Saccharomyces cerevisiae S288C: one gene and its partners. The gene in region 1 interacts genetically with each later gene. Each region holds a gene or a part of one and is shown in the gene's direction. Other genes may lie near its edges.

What was found. A genetic interaction does not mean that the proteins touch.
Region 2: mutations in SFL1 (region 1) and SPS2 together harm fitness more than expected from each alone (negative genetic interaction), as found in Saccharomyces cerevisiae (2 studies listed by BioGRID).
Region 3: mutations in SFL1 (region 1) and YCK2 together harm fitness more than expected from each alone (negative genetic interaction), as found in Saccharomyces cerevisiae (2 studies listed by BioGRID).

The regions. Positions count from the first base shown.
Region 1 is NC_001147.6:584,955-589,878, forward strand, and holds SFL1 (Sfl1p), read left to right. Parts: upstream 1-2,026; coding exon 2,027-4,327; downstream 4,328-4,924. Other genes in the region: RUP1 (Rup1p), read right to left, coding at 1-1,370. UniProt on the Saccharomyces cerevisiae protein: Involved in cell surface assembly and regulation of the gene related to flocculation (asexual cell aggregation). Mutations in SFL1 causes constitutive cell aggregation.
Region 2 is NC_001136.10:1,483,159-1,487,431, reverse strand, and holds SPS2 (Sps2p), read left to right. Parts: upstream 1-2,128; coding exon 2,129-3,637; downstream 3,638-4,273. Other genes in the region: putative serine/threonine protein kinase SPS1, read left to right, coding at 394-1,866; URC2 (Urc2p), read left to right, coding at 4,029-4,273. UniProt on the Saccharomyces cerevisiae protein: Involved in middle stages of meiosis. Redundant with SPS22 for the organization of the beta-glucan layer of the spore wall.
Region 3 is NC_001146.8:343,000-347,447, reverse strand, and holds YCK2 (serine/threonine protein kinase YCK2), read left to right. Parts: upstream 1-2,171; coding exon 2,172-3,812; downstream 3,813-4,448. Other genes in the region: INN1 (Inn1p), read right to left, coding at 1-1,135; tubulin-binding prefolding complex subunit GIM3, read left to right, coding at 1,390-1,779; CUZ1 (Cuz1p), read right to left, coding at 4,108-4,448. UniProt on the Saccharomyces cerevisiae protein: Casein kinases are operationally defined by their preferential utilization of acidic proteins such as caseins as substrates.

The DNA.
Region 1 (4,924 bases):
TTGCCTTGGTAACTCTTTAACTCGTTGATCTCTTGAAGCAAGCATCTGGATCTGGTCCGCGCTTGCTTTCGTTTAGAAATAATATGTCTTATTAGTTGGTCTTTGCACTGTTTGGTGTAAAGCTGTGGGTAAAACTCAAGCGGTATATCCACGCCATTGGGTAGAGACACTGATTCTGTATTTGTTTCTAGTTCATTGAACAGGATTGTTAATACGGGTGCCACCTCCTTCAAAGTATTCTCCGGTTCCACATATCTCGCCTCTTCTTGCTCGCCACCACGAATCACGTCTTCTTCTTCTTCCTCTTCTTCGGGGTACAATAAAACGTTGAACATTTTATATAGATTAGAATCGTACTCTTCAGGAAGAAAATGAAACAAGGACAAAAACGTCTCCATTGGAGGTTCATTCTTGTTCGGAGTATGCAAAGCAGAAGATATAAAGAGACTTCTTGTTTCCCGGTCTCTGATCCCAGGACACATTTCCAAATCCACTGCCAATGATTTGATAAACGCTGGGAGCACCTCATAAAGATGCTCGGAATCGGCCAGCTTGGACCTCAATTGCGGTTCCAAGGACGACGTAAACACCTTGGCCGAAACAAAGGCTCTTTCACACTTTCGCGTGTTAACCACGGAGATGAGTTTTTGCAACTGCCAGAGCAGATGCGGTTGCAACCCTTCATTAGGTCCGCTGGCCAGCACGATCTCCGACGTAGTGGAACCATCTTCTGCCTCGCAATATGCAAGTCTGTATTTGGGCTCCGTAAACGATGAGCCCTTGAACCAGTCTGCCCTATAGTTCAAATCCTTAAAGTCCGGTTTCAAGAACACGTGTGGGAAATACACGGCCGTGAGCAACGCAAACAGCCCAAAATAGCTCTCAATTAGACTATTCAAGGGTAGCGGCAACACAACCGTAGGATCGCCCACGTTCGACTTGAACTCGTTGTGTTGTACTATACTATAAGAGGGGGGAGGAATGGATGTCTCCGATATAGAATAACGATCGTAGTTCTGAGCAGTAACCCTGCATCCGCTGGTGCTATTAGAACCGCTGCGTTCATCCGTGATGTCTTCATCGTCATCATAATCAACATCGACACCACTCACATCCGGCATATCAATGTCTTGGTCCCCGTTGTTCGGAACATCGCAGGGCTTGGTTCCAGCCACTATTTTGTTCTCAGAAATCCTAGGCTGACTGCCATCATTCTCCTCACCCATTTCCGCTTGCTCCGGCAGCTCGTTCGAAAAGATGAAGTTAACTGCTGCCTCCAAATTACCGCCAGTTCTTTGGAGGGCGTCCACAGCTACTTCGTGTGGAATACCCATTTCTAGCAGTGACTTTACAGCCTGATTATCCATCATCGTAGCTTACTTAACAAAAATCAATTACTTAAGATTCCTTTTACAGGTGACGACTCTCCTTTTCCGGCTTCTTCTCTTCTTTCCTCTACTCCGACAGGTCCTTAAGCCTTGTAGTGAGAAGTACCTTTCAACAATAGTATCTTTTACTTCCGTGCCGGGTCGCCCGGACATCACCCGCCCGGCACAGATGCCTTGGCAGCAAGCGCATCCATCGCTGCATCTCCGCCGGAAAAACAGATGTTCAGTACATGAAAAGACGTTTTTATTCGACATAAACTTTTTCAGCTAGCAAGAAGGATCTCTTTTTAAACACTCTATACAGGTGCACACAAAGGGTTGTTGAAACAGAAACACAAACGCACGGCGAAATAATATTATTTATTCGACTTACGAATTTTTCAAAGAAGTCGTACTGGTGTGAAGTGGAAAGTTTCAAAGATAGTTTGAAAAGCAGGGAAAAAAGAACATAGTGAACCTTCATCGCCACAGTGACAGGTTCAAGGAAAAAATTCACACACACACACATACGCATACGCACACAAAGCACTCAGCTCTATATACATAACAAAGAATATTGTAATTCGACACTATTTGGTACATTCAGAGGGTCCTAAGACAGCACAAATCAGTTATATAGAAAAAAAGAAGAAAAAATCATGAGTGAAGAGGAAACGGTCTCAGCCCCAGCTCCAGCTTCTACACCGGCCCCGGCTGGAACCGATGTAGGTAGTGGTGGAGCAGCAGCTGGAATAGCTAATGCTGGTGCTGAAGGCGGCGACGGTGCCGAGGATGTTAAGAAACATGGGTCGAAGATGCTAGTGGGGCCCAGGCCGCCACAAAATGCGATATTCATCCATAAGCTATACCAGATTCTGGAGGACGAATCGCTACACGACTTGATATGGTGGACCCCTTCGGGCTTATCCTTCATGATTAAGCCTGTGGAACGGTTTAGTAAGGCTTTGGCTACATATTTCAAGCATACTAATATCACGAGCTTTGTAAGACAGTTGAACATTTACGGCTTTCACAAGGTGTCGCATGATCATAGCAGCAACGACGCTAATAGTGGCGACGACGCCAATACTAATGATGACAGCAATACTCACGATGATAATAGTGGCAACAAAAACAGTAGTGGCGACGAAAATACCGGTGGCGGTGTCCAAGAAAAGGAGAAAAGTAACCCCACTAAAATCTGGGAATTTAAGCATAGTTCTGGTATTTTCAAGAAAGGTGACATTGAGGGACTCAAACACATTAAGAGAAGAGCTTCTTCCCGTAATAACTCCTCAATTAACAGTCGAAAGAATTCTAGTAATCAAAACTACGATATAGATTCCGGTGCAAGAGTAAGACCCTCTTCGATTCAAGACCCGTCCACCAGTTCCAATTCCTTTGGTAATTTCGTTCCGCAAATTCCGGGCGCCAATAACTCTATCCCCGAGTACTTTAATAACTCTCATGTAACTTACGAAAACGCAAACCATGCCCCGCTGGAATCCAATAACCCGGAAATGCAAGAGCAAAACAGACCTCCGAACTTTCAAGATGAAACACTGAAACATTTGAAAGAAATAAATTTTGATATGGTTAAGATTATAGAGTCTATGCAGCATTTCATATCTTTGCAACACAGTTTTTGTTCACAGAGTTTCACCTTCAAGAATGTGAGCAAGAAAAAATCGGAAAATATCGTGAAGGATCACCAAAAGCAACTTCAGGCATTCGAAAGCGATATGTTAACTTTCAAACAGCACGTCATGTCGAGGGCCCACCGTACAATAGATTCTCTTTGTGCTGTAAATGCTGCCGCTACCGCTGCCTCTGTCGCCCCTGCACCCGCGCCCACATCCACATCTGCATATGCACCCAAATCTCAGTATGAGATGATGGTTCCTCCAGGGAACCAGTATGTCCCGCAGAAATCTTCCTCGACCACGAACATCCCTTCGAGATTCAACACGGCTTCAGTGCCGCCCTCGCAACTTTTTGTACAATACCAACCGCAGTCGCAACAACATGTGACTTATGCGAAGCAACCGGCACATGTACCAAACTTTATCAATCAGCCGATACCCATCCAACAACTACCTCCACAATATGCAGACACTTTTAGCACTCCACAAATGATGCACAATCCTTTTGCCTCGAAAAATAACAACAAACCGGGCAACACGAAGAGGACCAATAGTGTTCTCATGGACCCGCTGACTCCCGCAGCGAGTGTTGGAGTTCAGGGTCCACTAAACTATCCTATCATGAATATTAATCCTTCTGTCCGTGACTACAACAAGCCTGTCCCTCAAAATATGGCTCCGAGTCCAATATATCCTATTAATGAACCAACAACGAGATTGTATTCTCAACCAAAAATGAGAAGTCTCGGGTCTACAAGCTCTTTGCCCAACGATAGAAGAAACAGTCCTCTGAAGCTGACACCGAGATCATCGTTGAATGAAGATAGTCTGTATCCCAAACCTAGAAACTCTCTCAAATCCAGTATTTCGGGCACGTCTTTATCCTCCTCTTTTACACTAGTTGCCAACAATCCAGCCCCAATTCGGTACTCTCAGCAGGGATTGCTTCGCTCATTAAACAAAGCTGCTAATTGTGCTCCAGATTCGGTAACTCCATTAGACTCGTCTGTCTTGACGGGCCCTCCTCCAAAAAACATGGACAATCTTCCTGCTGTTTCTTCAAATTTAATAAACTCCCCCATGAACGTCGAGCACAGCTCAAGCCTATCACAAGCAGAACCTGCACCACAAATAGAACTACCGCAGCCATCTTTGCCCACAACGAGCACCACTAAGAATACTGGCGAGGCTGACAATAGTAAGAGAAAAGGGAGCGGTGTTTATTCTTTACTGAATCAAGAGGATAGCAGCACGTCCAGTGCTGATCCTAAAACTGAAGATAAGGCCGCTCCGGCACTCAAAAAGGTTAAGATGTGATCTTTGCCTTTTTAATCTCTAGTTGTCTAAAAGTTCAAAGCACCTCACTGTATGTTTATTACCTTTGTTCCAATTACTTTTGTTTCAATTACTTTTGTTTCATTTCATTTTAGGTATCCCAACGGGTAATCATTGTTATTTATTTTATTCACTTTTTTTTCTTTTCCTCCTGATCCTTGTGATTATAACTATATTTTTACCAACTCCGGTAGTTGTTTTATTAAGTTTTCATCACACTAAATTGTATTTTCCACTTTCATTTCCACCTTCCTTTCCCCTACCTCCCTTCAATTCGTATCATAATACCGCCCGTTCTTTCTAGTATATCACAGAATAGCTACGGGGTATTGTCTCATAAACAGAAAAATGCACCTTTCGATAAACTTCCTGTACAATAATTCTATAAGTATATATGTATGTTTGCTATTAAACAACCATCACAAAAAGACACCTTATTCTTTATGGACGCCTTCAAGTTGTGCTCCTATTCTGTAGTTGTTGCACCATGCATGTTACCATCATAGCCGTCTAAGCGGGACTATTTCCTTTTGTTAACACCTATACTAATTAAACAGCTGGGGAAATTTTTATTCTATG
Region 2 (4,273 bases), on another chromosome or scaffold:
AATGACACATAAAAACGAAAAAGACACAAATTCCATTTTTTTTTTTTGACGCGAAAGAATGACACTACTTTCTTCTATTGTAACCATTTCTAACATCGATATTTTACTTGTTAGTTCAGATATATACTAAAGAGTCACTTAATATACTGTTTTTGTTTATTATCTTGGTTCCAACTGCTTCATTTAATATTTCCTATCCAAAAAAAGCCAGCTAATTCTCTTCTTTTTTTTTCTTATTTTGCCATTTTCAATATTATCGATTTAGTGAACACCTGGCTAGTCAGTTGTCTTAGCAAACATTTCTCAAAAGAAAGCAAACCAGCATTTGCTTTTTAAATTTAGTTTTTTTACTAGCTAATTCATTTACTAAACAACAAAAGAAAATAGCACAAAATGGAAAGCAAAGAAATATCAATTAGGTCAAGAACCCCTCCATCGAAGCTATATTCCATCCAATCATGTATTGGCAGAGGTAACTTTGGTGATGTGTATAAAGCAGTGGATAGAGTTACGCAAGAAATTGTGGCAATTAAGGTGGTCAACCTGGAGCATTCCGACGAAGACATTGAACTGTTAGCACAGGAAATTTTTTTTCTGGCGGAATTGAAATCTCCTCTTATTACAAACTATATTGCAACAATGTTAGAAGATGTCTCTATGTGGATTGTCATGGAATATTGCGGCGGTGGATCATGTTCAGATTTACTGAAGCGAAGTTACGTCAACGGTTTGCCTGAAGAAAAAGTTTCCTTCATTATTCATGAAGTCACCTTGGGTTTGAAATACCTGCATGAGCAAAGGAAAATTCATCGTGATATCAAAGCAGCTAATATTTTACTAAATGAAGAAGGTATGGTTAAGTTGGGTGATTTCGGAGTAAGTGGCCACATTCGTTCCACTTTGAAAAGGGACACTTTTGTAGGAACGCCGTATTGGATGGCTCCGGAAGTTGTTTGCTGCGAAGTTGATGGGTATAATGAGAAAGCAGATATATGGTCCTTGGGTATCACCACCTATGAGTTACTCAAGGGCTTACCCCCATTATCTAAATATGATCCTATGAAAGTTATGACTAACTTACCAAAAAGGAAGCCTCCAAAATTACAAGGTCCCTTTTCGGATGCAGCAAAGGATTTCGTAGCTGGTTGTCTTGTTAAAACACCTGCTGATCGGCCATCGGCATATAACTTGTTATCATTTGAATTTGTTAAGAATATCACCATAACGAACTTGAAAAGTGATGTTGATCTAATTAAACAGAAAAAGGTTCAGGAGAGATATACAAAAGTTCCCAAATACCCTCTTCAAAATCGCTTGTATAAAAACAGCAACACAGTGAGGGGAAAGGAATTTTGGAATTTTGAATCGACAAGACTAAGCACAACACAAATTTCCAAAGAGGAATTATCTCCCATTACACAAGACTCTCCAACATCATCTTTAAATATGGAAAGTCCTTATTTACTTCATGGGCAAACTGTAACGCCGATAACCAACCCAAGTTCTTCATCATTTAGAAAATGTACGCAACCAGTTTTCGAGCTTGATTCAGGAATGGATATAGATTCAGGCTGCCCAAATGCTCAAGCAGAGACCGAAATAGTTCCTCTCTCTAATCATAATAAGAAGCATAAAAAGAACGATATTCAGGCGTTGAAGATAGAAAAGTTTGACTACTTGAAAAACATTGTATCTCATATTCTCAACAGAATGTATGATCGTGCGCGCGACGATGAAACAAGAAAATACGTAAATGAAATGTTAAAGCAATTCATTAAAACTGAGGCAAACGTTCCTGGATTTAATGAGGTTTTTATAGAAGAGATCTCACTAAGAATTGAAGCAATAAAGAAAGGATTCGTTTAAAAAAATAGATATATATATATAATGTGTGTATATGCATGAGTTTTTGTTTTCCATTCTCTTTCATCTTCAATAAATGAAGGATGGATATATTGAATTATATAACAAACAGTAAAAAGTCATGTGTTTTTGATTATTTACCTGCTTATTTCTCCCTTTTTTTTTCGATTCTTTTTTTCTGATCGAGCGTTTATGTCTTTACTGTCCCGTCATTGATGCGTCTCAAAAAAAATATTTTGTGGCATTACTTAGACTATAAAAGAAAATGCCAATTTGGAAAACACAAACATTCTTCACTAGTATTTCTGTTATTCAAATAGTCAATAAAGAAACCAAAGTTTCTACAAAAAAAGAAAAGGATAGCATGTTGAACCAGTTGAACACAATCTTAAGATTTTTATTCTTGTTTCTGCAGTTAATTAAATCATCCGCTGCAGTTGAACCTAATGGTGGACCGAATATTCTAGATCACAACATTATGTTGGTTAACACTAATGCAACGATCCCTAAAAAGGAACAAACTGATTTTGAGGTGATTTCTCCAACAAAACAAACACAAGTAGATGAAGACTGTAAAAAAGGCTTGTATCATATTGAGAATGCTGGAAATTTGATTGAACTGCAAGCTAAATGTTGGAAAGTGGTAGGAAACATTGAAATATCAAGTAACTACAGCGGATCTCTTATTGATCTAGGGTTAATAAGAGAGATAGAGGGAGATCTTATTATCAAGAATAACAAACACATTTTTAGAATCCAGGGTTATAATTTAGAGTCTTTGGGAAAGTTGGAATTGGATAGCCTAACTTCCTTTGTATCATTAGACTTTCCCGCTTTAAAAGAAGTTGAAACCGTTGATTGGAGAGTTTTGCCTATTCTAAGTAGTGTTGTCATTAACGGAAATATTAAAAAGATCAAAAATATTATCATATCTGATACTGCATTAACCTCCATCGATTACTTCAATAACGTCAAGAAAGTGGATATTTTCAATATCAACAATAACAGGTTTTTAGAAAATTTATTCGCAAGTTTAGAAAGTGTTACTAAACAACTAACCGTCCACTCTAATGCCAAAGAGCTGGAACTTGATTTGAGCAACTTACACACGGTTGAAAATATGACCATTAAGGACGTTTCAGAAATTAAACTAGCTAAACTTTCCTCTGTGAACAGTTCTCTAGAGTTCATCGAGAATCAATTTTCAAGCTTGGAACTACCACTTTTGGCAAAAGTTCAAGGAACGTTGGGGTTAATAGATAATAAAAATCTGAAAAAGCTAAACTTTTCGAATGCCACCGATATTCAAGGGGGTCTAATGATTGCTAACAATACAGAGCTTGCCAAAATTGATTTCTTCCCCAAGTTGAGGCAAATTGGCGGTGCAATATATTTTGAAGGTAGCTTTGATAAAATTGACCTCCCAGAGCTAAAGTTAGTAAAAGGTAGCGCTTATATCAAAAGTTCATCTGAGGAATTAAACTGTGAAGAATTTACATCACCAAAAGCCGGTCGTTCGATCATAAGAGGCGGTAAAATCGAATGCACATCTGGTATGAAAAGTAAAATGCTGAATGTTGATGAAGAGGGGAATGTACTAGGAAAGCAGGAAACTGACAATGATAATGGAAAGAAAGAAAAAGGAAAAAATGGTGCAAAAAGTCAAGGAAGTTCAAAGAAGATGGAAAACAGTGCTCCGAAGAACATTTTTATTGATGCTTTCAAAATGTCAGTTTATGCAGTTTTCACGGTATTGTTCTCGATAATTTTTTAGGTTAGAAGATTAACTTAAATACTAGCCATTTTATTTAGTTCTTATGAGATATAAATTTGCAGTAGAGATGTAGTGTTCTGATTATCTTCACCTGGAGCATAGCGTAGCCCACTTAGCATCAGCTTTTTATGTTATTTCAGGCATTACCAAAACTGGTTAAACTATTGAAACTGTTACCCTCCTTTTAATTTTGACAGTTTTTGAATAATTATTATGGTAGATCATCTTAACAAAATGAGCTCATTAGGTAGATGATTTAATTGAAAAATAGTGTTTTGATACGGTTCTTCCTTAGGGTTAAAACCACTCACATTTTGCTTACTCACCATTAAAACATCTTTCCCAGTTGTATTTTATATTTCTTTCGGTTTGCTGAACATCAGGGAAAAAAATGGATATAAACTCAAATGCCTCAGTAAGCCCCAGACCAGATGGTTTACCGATGACTGCTGGATATAATTCTGCTTCTGGAAAGGTGCGAAATAGTATCAGATCCATAATAAACCACCCAGAGGATAGTGCAAGAGCCAAAGAGCGCAGTGAAACGAACAGTCCTAAGAATAATGGCAACAAAAAACCTAGAAAGAAAAGAAAAACATTTAGTTGTGATACTTGCAGGAGAGTGAAGACAAGGTG
Region 3 (4,448 bases), on another chromosome or scaffold:
GTTTTGGAGAATTCAGGCCTGATGGATGAGGATGTGAGTTAGGCGAAGAGGAATCTAGGCGTGAGGGTCTATCTCTTCTTACTAACGGCGTATTGCGCGAACTTGAATAATTGGACATATCATCTCTGGTCGGTATAGGAGGTAAGGGCGGTTGGTTATAGTTGTGGGAGACTCTATGGCTGGAAGAATAAAATGCGTCATTTTCGTCGTCATCGTCATCATCTTCGTCGTAAGACAACGAAGTTACACCAATAGCCTTTTGAAGTGCCTCAATATCTACCTTGTTAGATTCATTTTGGCAGTTGTTTGTTGAACTATCAGGATTCTTAAATATATTTATCTTCTCCTTTAATTTCCTTAAATTGGCAAAATGGAATTTTGTATTCGAAGTGTTTGATATAGCAGTATCATTAGTTTCTAATGTAGACGTTGTACCCATGGATGCTGAAAAAGTTGGAGGTAAAATTATTGGGTCATTACTATTTGCCAATACCGCTGTATCTGATTTAGATGACATGGAGAAAACATTGCCATTTCTGTAGGGCTGTCCCTCATCCTTATCCTCGTGACTTGTGCTAACACACTGGGGAGTAATCTGTCTCATCGTAGAACCATGAACATAGTCATACTCTGATTCTGTTGGCAATGGTGGTATCGGCCTCATAGCCATAGATGAATCCAACCTGTCCATTTCTTTGTTAAGATCGTCCCTGTTTAAACGAGGTACTTTGGGAGTGAAAGTCAACTCAATGAATATAGTGCCAGCAAATTCATCCCCACTTCTTTTCAGTTCGTACCAGGTACAATAACCCTCCTTCGGGTCTGCTCTAATAGCATTTAAAAGGTCTATTTCACATCTTCCAATTGGCAGCGGAGATTTTTTCCTTCTATCGCAGTAAACTTCGACGTACATTAAAGGCTTTATCTCTGGAGTAATATCAAATTTTTCTAAATAATGGAAAACAGGGTTTTGACCTGCTCGATGTAGAGTGTTGCTGGCTCTTGTCATATGAGCTATTCGCAACCTAAGCATTACATTTTGCTTGTCCAGTTTATTCAAATTAGGCAAGTCTCTAGCTTTGCTCACATATACGGAGAGGATTCCTTGGTTTCCATTCCATACTTCTTCGGACATTCGACAGTGACTCAACGAGTTAACCCAATTCCAGTTGTGAAACCTAAGGTCTCCGAATTCTCTCGTACTATTAACATACCTTTCTATGTTTTTATCTAAATCATATGAGGAACGCTAGGCCGTCATTCATGATCAGCAGAGGCGGCTTTTCATACAATTTTACAGGAAGCTAAGTACTTAGAGGACTTATGCTCTGTTTGGTCCTGCGGAAACTACCAGAATACACAACGCCAAGAAACTAACAGAGGACCATTATGGAACTGTTACCACAGGGACAAAGGAACAACACTCAGGTAACGTTCGAAGATCAGCAAAAGATCAACGAGTTTTCGAAGTTGATTATGCGTAAGGACGCCATTGCGCAGGAATTGAGTTTACAGAGGGAGGAGAAGGAGTACCTCGATGATGTGTCTCTAGAAATTGAATTGATTGACGAAGATGAGCCCGTGCAATACAAGGTGGGCGACCTCTTTATCTTCATGAAACAGAGCAAAGTTACCGCACAGCTCGAAAAAGACGCAGAACGTCTCGACAACAAAATAGAGACTTTAGAGGACAAGCAAAGAGACATTGATTCCCGTCTTGATGCTCTGAAGGCGATCCTGTATGCTAAATTTGGTGATAATATCAACCTTGAACGTTAGAACACTCATTAAAGTGTGGGCTGTGGGTGTCTCCACAAAATGAGTAATGAAAAATTTTTAATTTTTTCAGGAGGGAAATTAAAGAAAAGTAAAGAACATGATAATAAAAAGCAAGTTTAAGTTATTGTGTATGAGATAGAGTTTTTTTTGTATACCTTTGTAATCCGCATATATTCCTAAGTACCTTTTTTTTCAGACAGAAAAAAAGAGTTTCTTTACGGAAATTACTTCTTTCGTTTGATATTGTTTTTCTCTTTCGAGATTTAAGAACGTGGTTGTGTTTCGTGTTTCTGTGCAGATCATATTAGAAAGTTTTTTTCTCCATTTTGATAGACAAAACTTGTTGTTTCTACTGAACACAGCATATAAGCCAAGAAAATAGTTTTCCAAAAATGTCTCAAGTGCAAAGTCCTTTGACAGCAACGAACTCTGGTTTAGCTGTCAATAATAACACAATGAACTCACAAATGCCTAACCGTAGCAATGTTAGATTGGTCAATGGTACTTTACCCCCATCCTTACATGTTAGCTCTAACCTAAATCACAACACTGGCAATAGCTCTGCCTCCTATTCTGGCTCACAATCACGCGACGATTCCACTATAGTCGGGCTGCACTATAAGATAGGTAAGAAAATCGGTGAAGGTTCATTTGGTGTACTTTTTGAAGGTACAAACATGATCAATGGATTACCAGTTGCTATCAAGTTTGAACCAAGAAAAACAGAAGCCCCACAGCTAAAGGACGAATATCGGACCTATAAAATTTTAGCGGGAACACCTGGTATACCACAAGAATACTACTTTGGTCAGGAAGGATTACATAACATATTGGTTATTGATCTGCTTGGTCCTTCTTTAGAAGATTTATTCGATTGGTGTGGAAGAAGATTTTCGGTAAAAACTGTTGTACAAGTCGCAGTACAAATGATAACTTTAATTGAAGATTTGCACGCTCATGATTTGATATACCGTGATATTAAACCTGATAATTTTTTGATCGGAAGACCGGGTCAACCAGATGCTAACAAAGTTCATCTAATTGACTTTGGTATGGCCAAACAATATCGTGATCCAAAAACTAAACAACATATTCCGTACAGGGAAAAGAAATCATTAAGTGGCACAGCAAGATACATGTCGATAAATACACATTTGGGTAGAGAACAATCGAGAAGAGACGATATGGAAGCTATGGGTCATGTCTTCTTTTATTTCTTGAGGGGGCAGCTACCATGGCAAGGTTTGAAAGCACCAAATAACAAGCAAAAGTACGAAAAAATTGGCGAAAAGAAAAGACTAACAAATGTTTACGATTTAGCTCAGGGTCTCCCAATCCAATTTGGTAGGTATTTGGAAATAGTCAGAAATTTATCGTTTGAGGAAACTCCTGATTATGAGGGCTACCGCATGTTACTTTTATCTGTGTTGGATGATTTAGGTGAAACAGCAGATGGACAATATGATTGGATGAAGCTGAATGGTGGCCGTGGTTGGGATTTGTCGATAAACAAAAAGCCGAACTTACATGGTTATGGTCACCCAAATCCACCAAATGAAAAATCAAAAAGGCATAGAAGTAAAAACCATCAATATTCATCACCCGATCATCACCATCATTACAATCAACAGCAACAACAACAGCAGGCTCAGGCTCAAGCACAGGCTCAAGCACAAGCCAAAGTGCAGCAACAACAATTGCAACAAGCCCAGGCCCAGCAACAGGCCAATCGTTATCAATTACAACCAGATGACTCGCACTATGACGAAGAAAGAGAGGCGTCGAAGCTTGATCCAACTTCGTATGAAGCATATCAGCAACAAACTCAACAAAAATATGCTCAGCAACAACAAAAGCAAATGCAACAGAAATCCAAACAGTTTGCCAATACAGGTGCCAATGGTCAAACTAACAAGTATCCATATAATGCGCAACCAACGGCGAACGACGAACAAAACGCTAAAAACGCAGCGCAAGATAGAAATAGTAACAAATCATCGAAAGGTTTTTTCAGTAAGCTAGGATGCTGTTAGAATAGAAAACGGAGGAGGTTTTTTGTAATCATTCCCACCACCGTCCAGTGATCTTCACATTTTGTTCTAGTATTATGATTTTGATGTACATTTGATATTTTTTTATGTTTTTTATTTAAAAAGTAAGGGCGAAAATGTCTATTATTAAAAAAATATTAAGTACTTTACGTGCTTTTTAATATCGTTTTTTATTGATTATGTATCTTTAATGGGTTATTGATTTTTTTTGTTTTCTTTTTATATAGTATATACGCTTGACGTTCCGCGCGATTGTTTGTTATTTATAGTGTCCTTCTTAATTAGATTTTTCGTCGGCGTTATTGTGTACTAAATACAGAGTATCAAGATCTTTGATCTCATTAGTGACTCTTAAGGAAGCGCCAATATTATAAAATGAAACTTGTTTACCCTCTTTCAATTTGCATAGTTGAAATTTGTCATTAGAACTTGAATTAGTTAGTGTGCTAGATTTCACGTTTAGCTGGATAGACAAATAGTCCATGGCCCTACCCACAGGCCACATTTTGTTAATGTATAATGGCATTCTTGTATCCTCCTTGGCTATATCCGTCTCATCACCATCCACCAAGTAACACCAAATGTAAATCCTATTTTGCATAGGAATCTTGGGGTCAC